3 linked regions of the Saccharomyces cerevisiae S288C genome follow. The protein of the gene in region 2 purifies or fractionates together with the protein of the main gene of each other region. This does not show direct contact. Each region holds a gene or a part of one and is shown on either strand. Other genes may lie near its edges.

What was found.
Region 1: the proteins of UTP23 (region 2) and NOP9 purify together in Saccharomyces cerevisiae (affinity purification with mass spectrometry, with the first as the bait; one large-scale study listed by BioGRID). This does not show direct contact.
Region 3: the proteins of UTP23 (region 2) and ATP25 purify together in Saccharomyces cerevisiae (affinity purification with mass spectrometry, with the first as the bait; one large-scale study listed by BioGRID). This does not show direct contact.

The regions. Positions count from the first base shown.
Region 1 is NC_001142.9:417,937-421,695, reverse strand, and holds the start of NOP9 (RNA-binding RNA processing protein NOP9), read left to right. Parts: upstream 1-2,133; coding exon 2,134-3,759. Other genes in the region: chaperonin-containing T-complex subunit CCT8, read left to right, coding at 33-1,739. UniProt on the Saccharomyces cerevisiae protein: RNA-binding nucleolar protein required for pre-rRNA processing. Component of the 90S pre-ribosome involved in production of 18S rRNA and assembly of small ribosomal subunit. Component of the pre-40S ribosome required for release from the nucleolus.
Region 2 is NC_001147.6:331,433-334,856, forward strand, and holds UTP23 (rRNA-binding ribosome biosynthesis protein UTP23), read left to right. Parts: upstream 1-2,159; coding exon 2,160-2,924; downstream 2,925-3,424. Other genes in the region: putative subtilisin-like protease YSP3, read left to right, coding at 23-1,459; DNA ligase (ATP) DNL4, read right to left, coding at 3,077-3,424. UniProt on the Saccharomyces cerevisiae protein: Involved in rRNA-processing and ribosome biogenesis.
Region 3 is NC_001145.3:460,911-464,669, reverse strand, and holds the start of ATP25 (Atp25p), read left to right. Parts: upstream 1-2,060; coding exon 2,061-3,759. Other genes in the region: YMR099C (glucose-6-phosphate 1-epimerase), read left to right, coding at 1-736. UniProt on the Saccharomyces cerevisiae protein: mRNA stabilization factor specific for the 0.95 kb OLI1 mRNA. Also involved in OLI1 ring formation.

The sequences.
Region 1 (3,759 bases), on a different chromosome or scaffold from region 2:
AACCTCAAGGGCAATAAAATCATCAATTAACCATGTCACTTAGATTGCCACAAAATCCCAACGCGGGATTGTTTAAACAAGGCTACAATAGTTACTCTAACGCCGATGGCCAAATTATTAAATCAATTGCGGCCATTCGCGAATTACATCAAATGTGTTTGACTTCTATGGGACCCTGTGGTAGAAACAAGATCATTGTTAACCATCTCGGTAAAATCATTATTACCAACGACGCGGCCACCATGCTAAGAGAACTAGATATTGTCCATCCTGCAGTGAAAGTCCTCGTAATGGCGACTGAACAACAGAAGATCGACATGGGAGACGGTACAAATTTAGTCATGATTTTGGCTGGCGAACTATTAAATGTGTCCGAAAAACTGATTTCAATGGGCTTGTCTGCCGTTGAGATTATTCAAGGTTATAATATGGCAAGGAAGTTTACTTTGAAAGAACTAGACGAAATGGTTGTTGGTGAAATTACTGACAAGAATGATAAAAACGAACTTTTGAAAATGATTAAACCAGTCATCTCCTCCAAAAAGTACGGATCTGAAGACATATTGAGTGAACTTGTTTCTGAAGCTGTATCTCACGTTTTACCAGTTGCTCAGCAAGCTGGAGAAATTCCTTATTTTAATGTTGATTCTATCAGAGTAGTAAAGATTATGGGTGGATCGCTTTCCAATTCTACCGTCATCAAAGGTATGGTTTTCAATCGTGAGCCTGAAGGCCATGTAAAATCATTATCCGAAGATAAAAAGCATAAAGTTGCAGTTTTCACTTGTCCGCTTGACATAGCCAATACTGAAACGAAAGGCACTGTTTTATTACATAATGCACAAGAAATGCTCGATTTTTCTAAGGGCGAGGAAAAGCAAATAGATGCCATGATGAAAGAGATTGCCGACATGGGCGTAGAATGCATTGTTGCAGGTGCTGGTGTTGGTGAATTGGCGTTACATTATTTGAATAGATACGGTATACTAGTCTTGAAGGTACCAAGCAAATTCGAATTAAGAAGATTATGTCGCGTTTGTGGGGCCACTCCATTGCCTAGATTAGGTGCGCCAACTCCAGAAGAATTAGGTTTAGTGGAAACTGTTAAGACAATGGAGATAGGTGGTGATAGAGTAACTGTGTTCAAACAAGAGCAAGGTGAAATTTCAAGAACATCTACTATCATTTTAAGAGGTGCCACACAGAATAATTTGGATGATATTGAAAGAGCCATTGATGATGGTGTTGCAGCCGTCAAGGGACTAATGAAGCCATCAGGCGGTAAGTTGTTGCCTGGTGCTGGTGCTACCGAAATTGAATTGATTTCTAGGATAACTAAGTATGGTGAACGAACACCTGGATTGCTACAGTTAGCTATAAAACAGTTTGCCGTGGCTTTTGAAGTGGTTCCTCGTACCCTAGCGGAGACCGCTGGTCTTGATGTTAATGAGGTACTACCAAACTTATACGCTGCACATAACGTAACTGAACCTGGTGCAGTTAAGACAGATCATTTATATAAAGGTGTGGATATTGATGGCGAATCTGATGAAGGTGTAAAGGACATCAGAGAGGAAAATATTTATGACATGCTTGCAACGAAAAAGTTTGCTATTAACGTCGCTACAGAAGCTGCAACTACTGTGCTTTCCATTGACCAAATTATCATGGCAAAGAAGGCGGGTGGTCCAAGAGCACCTCAAGGCCCAAGGCCAGGTAACTGGGACCAAGAAGACTGATTTGTTTGCATCTTTATACTTACAAAGTAGATATACCTGCAAACAGCAGAATATAATGTCATAAATTGCAATCAAGTTTTCAAACTTGCTAGGCTGTATCATGTGTACCTGTATAGTAGTAAAGATATATATAATGTTTGAATTTTTGATAATGCAGATGTACTGTATACATTAACCAAGAAGCAACCTGCAAAACCGACGAACTCTTGGCCTGTATATTTGTTCGATGATTGTAATACTTTTTTTTTTTTCAATTTTTTTTCGGTTAGCGAGAATTTTCATGCTCATCTACAATATAATGAAGAAAATTATATTAGATGAGCTGCGATCTGTTACAACTAGTATACTGTGAACGACGCTGAAACCTTCACGGAAAAACCACATTATTGTTATTATGGGAAAGACTAAAACAAGAGGCAGAAGACACCAAGACAAACAGAGAAAGGACGAATTTGAACCCAGTTCAAATTCTGCGAAGGAGCACATCCAGCAAGAAGAGTCTACTTACAATGACGAAGCCGAAATTAAAGAGACTCAGCCACAAATGTTTTTTGGTGTGCTAGATAGAGAAGAACTGGAGTATTTCAAGCAAGCCGAATCGACTTTGCAATTAGACGCCTTCGAAGCACCTGAGGAAAAGTTTCAATTCGTCACGAGCATTATTGAGGAAGCAAAAGGTAAAGAACTGAAATTGGTTACTTCCCAAATAACTTCGAAATTGATGGAACGAGTTATTCTTGAATGTGATGAGACTCAGTTAAAAGACATTTTCCAATCTTTCAATGGCGTTTTCTTCGGGTTGTCATGTCATAAATATGCTTCCCATGTTTTAGAGACTTTATTTGTTAGAAGTGCCGCCTTGGTAGAAAGAGAACTTTTAACACCAAGTTTTGATAACAATGAAAAAGAAGGGCCTTATGTGACTATGGAAAATATGTTTCTCTTTATGTTGAATGAACTGAAACCGCACTTGAAAACTATGATGAACCATCAGTATGCATCACATGTTTTGAGATTGCTAATATTAATTTTGTCTTCCAAGACATTGCCTAATTCAACTAAAGCGAACTCTACTTTACGTTCCAAAAAGTCAAAAATTGCAAGAAAAATGATTGACATTAAAGATAATGACGATTTCAATAAAGTTTACCAAACACCGGAATCTTTCAAATCTGAACTTCGTGACATAATAACTACTTTATACAAAGGATTTACTAATGGTGCCGAGTCGCGTTCTGATATTTCGCAATCTACTATCACCAAATTTAGAGAGTACAGTGTGGATAAAGTGGCTTCCCCTGTAATTCAGCTCATTATTCAAGTCGAAGGTATTTTTGACAGGGACCGTTCATTTTGGAGATTGGTCTTCAATACAGCAGATGAGAAGGATCCTAAGGAGGAATCATTCCTGGAATATTTACTGTCAGATCCTGTCGGTTCTCATTTCTTAGAAAATGTGATTGGCTCTGCCAGGCTAAAATATGTTGAAAGACTTTATCGTTTATATATGAAAGACCGTATTGTGAAACTAGCAAAAAGGGATACTACAGGTGCCTTTGTAGTGCGTGCATTGCTGGAACATTTGAAGGAGAAGGACGTAAAACAGATATTGGATGCAGTAGTTCCTGAATTAAGCATGCTTTTAAACTCAAATATGGATTTTGGTACTGCTATTATCAACGCAAGCAATAAACAAGGTGGTTACTTAAGGGATGATGTCATTGCTCAATTAATACAAAAATATTATCCAGAAAAGTCTGATGCAAAGAATATTTTGGAAAGTTGCCTGTTGTTGAGTGCATCGACTTTGGGCAATACCAGAGATGACTGGCCAACAGCAGAAGAAAGAAGACGATCAGTTTTCTTGGAACAATTAATTGACTACGACGACAAGTTTTTGAATATTACCATTGACAGCATGTTGGCTCTGCCTGAGGAAAGGTTGATACAAATGTGTTACCATGGAGTATTTTCGCATGTTGTTGAGCACGTACTACAAACTACTAGGGTGGACATAATT
Region 2 (3,424 bases):
CAACCACTTTATATCTTTAAACATGAAATTCTCTACCATCTTACCTATACTTTGGGCAAATTGCTGTCTTTGTATGATCATCCCTGATTTCGACGGGATAGTTCGTTTTATTGAGAATATTGATGGTACTCGCAGTGTAAGAGCAGGAGAAGGTTTGGGACAGCATGATCCTGGAAATTTTCACACTGAACATCAACATGTCGCTCATAAAACAGAGTTTCTTCCTTATCGGTATGTCATAGTCTTTAATGAAGATATTTCCCTCCAGCAGATTCAATCGCATATGCAAGTGGTACAGAAGGATCATAGTACCTCAGTAGGTAAGCTTACAGAAAATGACGCTTTTTGGAGGGTAATTTCTTCTTCAGTATCATCTAAATCTCAATTTGGAGGTATTGATAATTTTTTTGACATAAATGGTCTATTTCGAGGTTATACTGGCTATTTCACTGATGAAATCATTAAAATAATCTCCCAGGACCCAATCATAAAGTTCGTAGAGCAAGAAACTACAGTAAAAATATCTAATTCGTCATTGCAGGAAGAAGCGCCTTGGGGTTTACATAGAGTTTCGCACAGGGAGAAACCAAAATATGGACAAGATTTGGAATATTTATATGAAGATGCCGCCGGAAAAGGTGTCACATCATATGTACTCGACACAGGAATTGATACCGAGCACGAGGACTTTGAAGGGCGTGCTGAGTGGGGAGCCGTTATACCAGCAAACGATGAAGCTTCTGATTTGAATGGTCATGGAACTCACTGTGCGGGGATTATCGGATCGAAGCACTTTGGTGTAGCCAAAAATACAAAAATAGTAGCTGTCAAAGTTCTTCGTTCTAATGGGGAAGGGACGGTTTCAGATGTTATTAAAGGTATAGAGTATGTTACTAAGGAGCATATAGAATCGTCGAAGAAAAAGAATAAAGAATTCAAAGGATCGACTGCCAATCTTTCTTTGGGAAGTAGCAAATCGCTAGCTATGGAAATGGCTGTAAATGCAGCTGTAGATAGCGGTGTCCATTTTGCTATTGCGGCAGGAAATGAGGATGAAGATGCTTGTCTCAGTTCACCAGCAGGAGCTGAAAAAAGTATTACGGTCGGTGCTTCGACATTTAGTGATGATAGAGCATTCTTTTCGAACTGGGGCACATGTGTTGATGTGTTTGCTCCCGGTATAAATATTATGTCCACCTATATTGGTTCAAGGAATGCAACTTTAAGTTTATCAGGTACTTCCATGGCGTCCCCGCACGTTGCTGGTATTTTAAGTTACTTTTTATCATTACAGCCTGCACCAGACAGTGAATTTTTCAACGACGCTCCCTCACCTCAAGAATTGAAAGAAAAAGTCCTAAAATTTAGTACACAGGGAGTACTGGGTGATATCGGTGATGATACTCCTAACAAATTAATATATAATGGGGGAGGTAAGAAATTGGATGGTTTTTGGTAGCTTTGATTTTGAATTTAGGAGCACCCAGGAGATTTTATTTTATTCTTTTCATACAGGTCAGCATAAGCCTAAGAAAGACGTTTGAAATCGCTAATCGGCTTTTTGTTCCTACGAGTAGGTTAAATTCTTTCAATAATATACATAATAAATTAGTAGTAAAGATAAACTTTTGTTCGCGATGCAGTTCTTTTGGTTGTGAATAGTTTTTTTACGAATTTATACTAGTCACTGCTAGATAAGGGTTAAGGAGGTAAATAAAATACGACAACCACTTTAAATAGGTTTCAAAACTATCCTTCAACAGATAAAAGGGTTTACCGTCAGAATCATTGAAATCTTTTAAAGGGTGTGAAACTATTTTTATCTTCCTCTGTCACCGTCCAAAGCAACCGAGCAATGCAGTGTTTTTCCTTTTAAAAACTACCTCAGATCATAGGTACAAGTTACAACTGAATGTCTACAATTGTGATCTCGGCTCGATAATGTATTCTATGTATGAGAGGCATCTTCTTGTTTTGATTATTTCTATCATTTACTAAGGAAAAAAAAAAAAATATACATGCGGTGCGATGCGATGATCTTCGGGAAGAAAAATTTTCAAGATGTCAATTAAACAATAGTATAATTATCGTGATGAGCAAGAAGGGAAGCAATCCAATAATAAAAACCAACTATTGTAAGCGCTCCCGATATACCTAACATGCGTCAAAAGAGGGCTAAGTCATATAGGAAACAACTTCTTGTTTACAGTCACACATTTAAGTTCCGTGAGCCATATCAAGTTTTGGTTGATAATCAGCTTGTTTTAGAATGTAATAATTCTAATTTTAATCTACCGAGTGGGTTGAAAAGAACGTTGCAAGCAGACGTAAAGGTCATGATCACACAGTGTTGCATACAAGCGTTATATGAAACTAGAAATGATGGTGCAATTAATTTAGCGAAACAATTTGAGAGACGTCGTTGTAACCACTCTTTTAAAGATCCAAAGTCACCTGCGGAGTGCATCGAAAGCGTCGTTAATATTAGCGGTGCAAATAAACACAGGTATGTGGTTGCTTCTCAGGACATAGATTTGAGGAGGAAGCTGAGGACGGTTCCGGGTGTTCCATTAATCCATTTAACCAGGTCTGTTATGGTTATGGAACCTCTCAGTACGGCGAGTGCCAAGGCAAGCAAGATTACTGAAGAACAAAAATTGTATAAGGGTCTCAATGATCCTAATATTGAAAAACTTCAAGAAAGTGGTGATGGATCAGGAAAGGAATCTATCACTAAGAAAAGAAAGCTTGGTCCAAAGGCTCCTAATCCTTTGAGCGTAAAGAAGAAGAAGAAAGTCAACTCGCCCAGCGATGAGGTGAAAGACAAAGAAGATACTTCTAAAGAAAAGAAAAAAAGAAGAAGAAGGAAACACAAAAGCAACACTAACGTCCCCGTTTCAAATGGGACCACAGCCGCGCAGTAAATTTTTTCCTTAAGTTAATTGACTGGCCAATCTTTTGAATATAATTGCGCATCTTCCACTCTTATTGATAAACGTTACGGAAGTATTTAATGTACATATGTAGGATAGTATTAAATAAACTTCAAAAAATTAAGCCTCCGCAAAACGCACCATCAGTAGTTGACTACGGGGAAGTCTTCTTCAGGCACTTGACAGTTTTCATTAATAGAATGATCCACCCATTCAGGGGCAACGACCCTGGCTATTTTCGGTATAGTATCAGAAGCCTTTATTTGTTCTTTTATTTTTTCGTGTACCTCATTCATGCAGTCTTTCCTCAAAATAGGATCAGTATATGGTATAATTATTAAGTTACAAAGTGACTGTTGATCTGTTATTTTTCCACCAAACAACTTAATTTTCATTTCTATAATGTCATCTTCTGTGCTAATTTTGCGACGTGGTACGTATGCAATCCTGTTGGAGAATAAAAATAATGGAAACCGCCGAACCTCAGAATC
Region 3 (3,759 bases), on a different chromosome or scaffold from region 2:
CAAACCTGTGAGAGGTGGTATACCTTTGGTCTTTCCTGTATTCGGGAAAAATAGCACCGATGAACATTTGAGTAAATTACCTCAACATGGTCTTGCAAGAAATTCTACTTGGGAGTTTTTGGGTCAAACTAAGGAAAACCCACCGACCGTACAATTTGGCTTGAAACCAGAAATTGCTAACCCAGAATTGACCAAATTGTGGCCAATGGATTATCTTTTGATTTTGACTGTTGAATTAGGCTCCGATTATTTGAAAACTGCCATAGAAGTAGAAAACACATCTAGTTCCAAGGAATTAAAGTTCAACTGGTTGTTCCATACATACTTCCGTATCGAAGATATTGAAGGAACAATGGTCTCTAATTTAGCTGGCATGAAACTTTATGACCAACTGTTGAAGGAATCCTACGTCGACAAGCACCCAGTCGTTACCTTCAATCAAGAAACCGATGTAATTTATCAGAATGTCAGCGCCGAACGGGCCATTCAAATAGTTGACAAGGGCGTTCAAATTCACACTCTAAAAAGATACAACTTGCCCGACACTGTTGTTTGGAATCCATGGATTGAGAAGTCTCAAGGGATGGCCGATTTCGAACCAAAAACTGGTTACCAACAAATGATATGTATTGAACCTGGTCATGTTCATGATTTTATTTCCTTGGCTCCTGGTAAAAAATGGAATGCTTATCAATTACTTTGCAAAGAAGAATTGAAATATCAAGCTATTCAATAAATAATATAAAAAAATGTAGCAACGGTAATTTTTATAAAGTAAATTCCCAGTTGTATACTTTTCTTAATGTGGGCTATTTGATTACCTCCATCCTTTATCTTTGTTTTTGTTGACGAACAACTAAAGCAACATTCTGTTTACTAAGACTCTTATTTAATTCCAAGTGCAGCAAGAACAAATTGCCAAAAGCGTATTGTTAAACTTGTTCTGGCAGCATATTATCGTAAAATTAAGTAACGTTTTTAAAAATGACACTGAATTCTACTTTGTGATGATCAAACAACACCCACCTGGTCTGATAAAAAAATCTCCGCGACGGGGAATTGAACCCCGATCTGGCACGCGACAAGCGCCCATTCTGACCATTAAACTATCACGGACAAATTTCTGAAGTTTTGTACTTTTACCAGTCCATCTAATACCATATATTTTGATAATAATTATGTCTTTGACAGTAACTTATCATCAGGACTGTTGGAATAAAAATCAAAAATCAACTATCGTCTATCAACTAGTAGTCACACTACCAGTATATTATGATATACGGTGTTAGATGATGGCATAAGGTATGAGAAGCTGTCATCGAAGTTAGAGGATGCTGAAATGCAAGGATTGATAATGTAATAGGATAATGAAACATGTAAAACAGAGTGAAGAATAATCGTAATACTATTATGTAGAAATATGGATTCCATTTGAGGGTTCCTATATCCTCGAGGAGAACTTTTAGTATATTTTGTGTACTATTATTATAGCTGTTAAGTATAATTGGATCCTAACAATTCTCATTATTTGTCAAATTCTCATCATCTATATATTAGACGCCGCATATAGGAAACAGCGATCAAACTTTAACGAAGCGAACATACAATATTCCTGATGTAATAATACCAATCAGCGAACTGTACGAAACAAATAGAAGAACGTTATATTATATGGGATTTTACACTTTTTTGGTGGTATCATATATGCTTGAAAAGATCCTGCAGCATTTCTATATACCTGATAATATTGGTTTTATTAGAAATGGGGTCACAATCATCCGAACTATCGTAACTTTAGAAATAATCCGTCTTTCTTAAATAGTACTCTAGTACACAGTAATGGTATTTGTTTTTACTAGTATTTCTTGACATCTTTTTCTAACCTCTCTTCTAATATACTTGCAATCTTCTGATAATTATGCTTTTCATCCCGATAAAGAGAAACAATGAGGACCATTCAGCCAAAAAAAAAAAAAGCAAGTTAAGCTACTAAGAAAGATCGACACCAAGTGAAGATTAAGTGTAATAGCCTGCTTATTCAAAAATTGAGGTTTGTTGACATGAATAAATTCTGTCTACTACCTTTCCATGGCAAGAGGATAGGCGTGGCCAATATTCCTTTTACCATATTATTCAAAAAGGGCCCTTATTTTCTTCATAGTCACATCACAGCAGTTTATTACTCGACAAAGGGCAAAAATGACAGTCATGAACAAAGTCGTGTATCCAAAAAGTCTACTTTTACCCCTCTGGAAACACCTTGGTACCTCAGGATTGTTGACAATGAAAAGGAACTAATGGAAGGTAAGAAAAATAACCACCACACGATGAACAAAGAATTGGAGATACCTAAAACCTCTCCAAACTCATTAAGAAAAATAGCAGACCTCCTAACTGGTAAACTTGGTCTGGATGACTTCCTGGTTTTCGATTTACGGAAGAAAAGCCCAAACTCTGTTTCAGCCGTTAATAAGTTGGGTGACTTCATGGTCATATGTACAGCAAGATCTACCAAACATTGTCATAAAAGTTTCTTAGAGTTGAACAAGTTTTTGAAGCACGAATTCTGTAGTAGTGCATACGTTGAAGGAAACTTTAATGAGCGACAAGAAAGTAGAAGAAAAAGAAGATTAGCAAGAAAATCCAACCTTAGTAAACTATTAGGTAGAAGCTCTGAATGCTCTGCAAAAGACTTAAATAGTGAGGCTTGGTATATGATTGATTGTCGTGTCGATGGTATTTTTGTAAATATTTTGACACAGAGAAGGCGTAATGAATTGAATTTAGAAGAGCTGTATGCACCTGAAAATGAGAAATCTAAGTTCCAAAATATAGATTCAGGTAATGTCCCTACTATTTCAGGGGTAAATGAAATTTCAAGCAACAATAATATTCTTTTAGGCCTAAGAAGACTGGCCCAGCAAAGGAGAAGGTATTCAACTATCAACCCAAACGGGCTAAGTAATTTAAGATACTTTCTACAAAAGGAAGACTTCAAAGGAGCCAATAAGATAATTCAGAGTAGTAGTGGTACTGAAACTCACAATATACGTACTTTGGAGCATGTTAAAAATACTTTAAAGGATTTGGTAGGACAAGAGAGGAAAGTAGATGTTGTTCAATGGAAGTCCTTATTTGACGAACATTCAACTTTTTTAACCATAAATCAATCGGCTGCATATTGGCCACTACGACTAGAATATGCGATACTTCTAAACAAAGCAGACCCACAATTTTATTCAGATCGTGTTTTCCTCAAGGATTATCTACTTTTAAAAAAATCGTTGGGGCAAGAGTTAATAAGGGAAGATCTAATCGCTCTTTTAGAAATGGTTTTGAAAACGCAGCATTCTAGTCATTCATACTTTAACCTAGTAAAGCAAAATAGGGTGATTATCAGAGCTTTGAACCTATTTAAAGGTCTACAAACAGAGGACGATGGCTCAGTTGTTTACGATGAAGTGGTAATATCCCTTCTTTTAAATTCCATGGTCGCGGATGAACGGGTAAAATTGAGATCACTCTACGAGACAATAGACCACATTTTCCAAACATTTGGAGATAAGTTGACTTCAGGCATGATTGTCTCAATATTGCAAAACTTGGCCAAAATCAAAGACTGGAATAAGCTACTTCAAGTCTGGGAAGCTATCACACCAACGGAAGGGGAAGGTCAGGACAAAAGGCCCTGGAATGAATTTATAAATGTTATCAATCAAAGCGGTGATAGTCACGTTATATCGAAAATCGTAAATAATG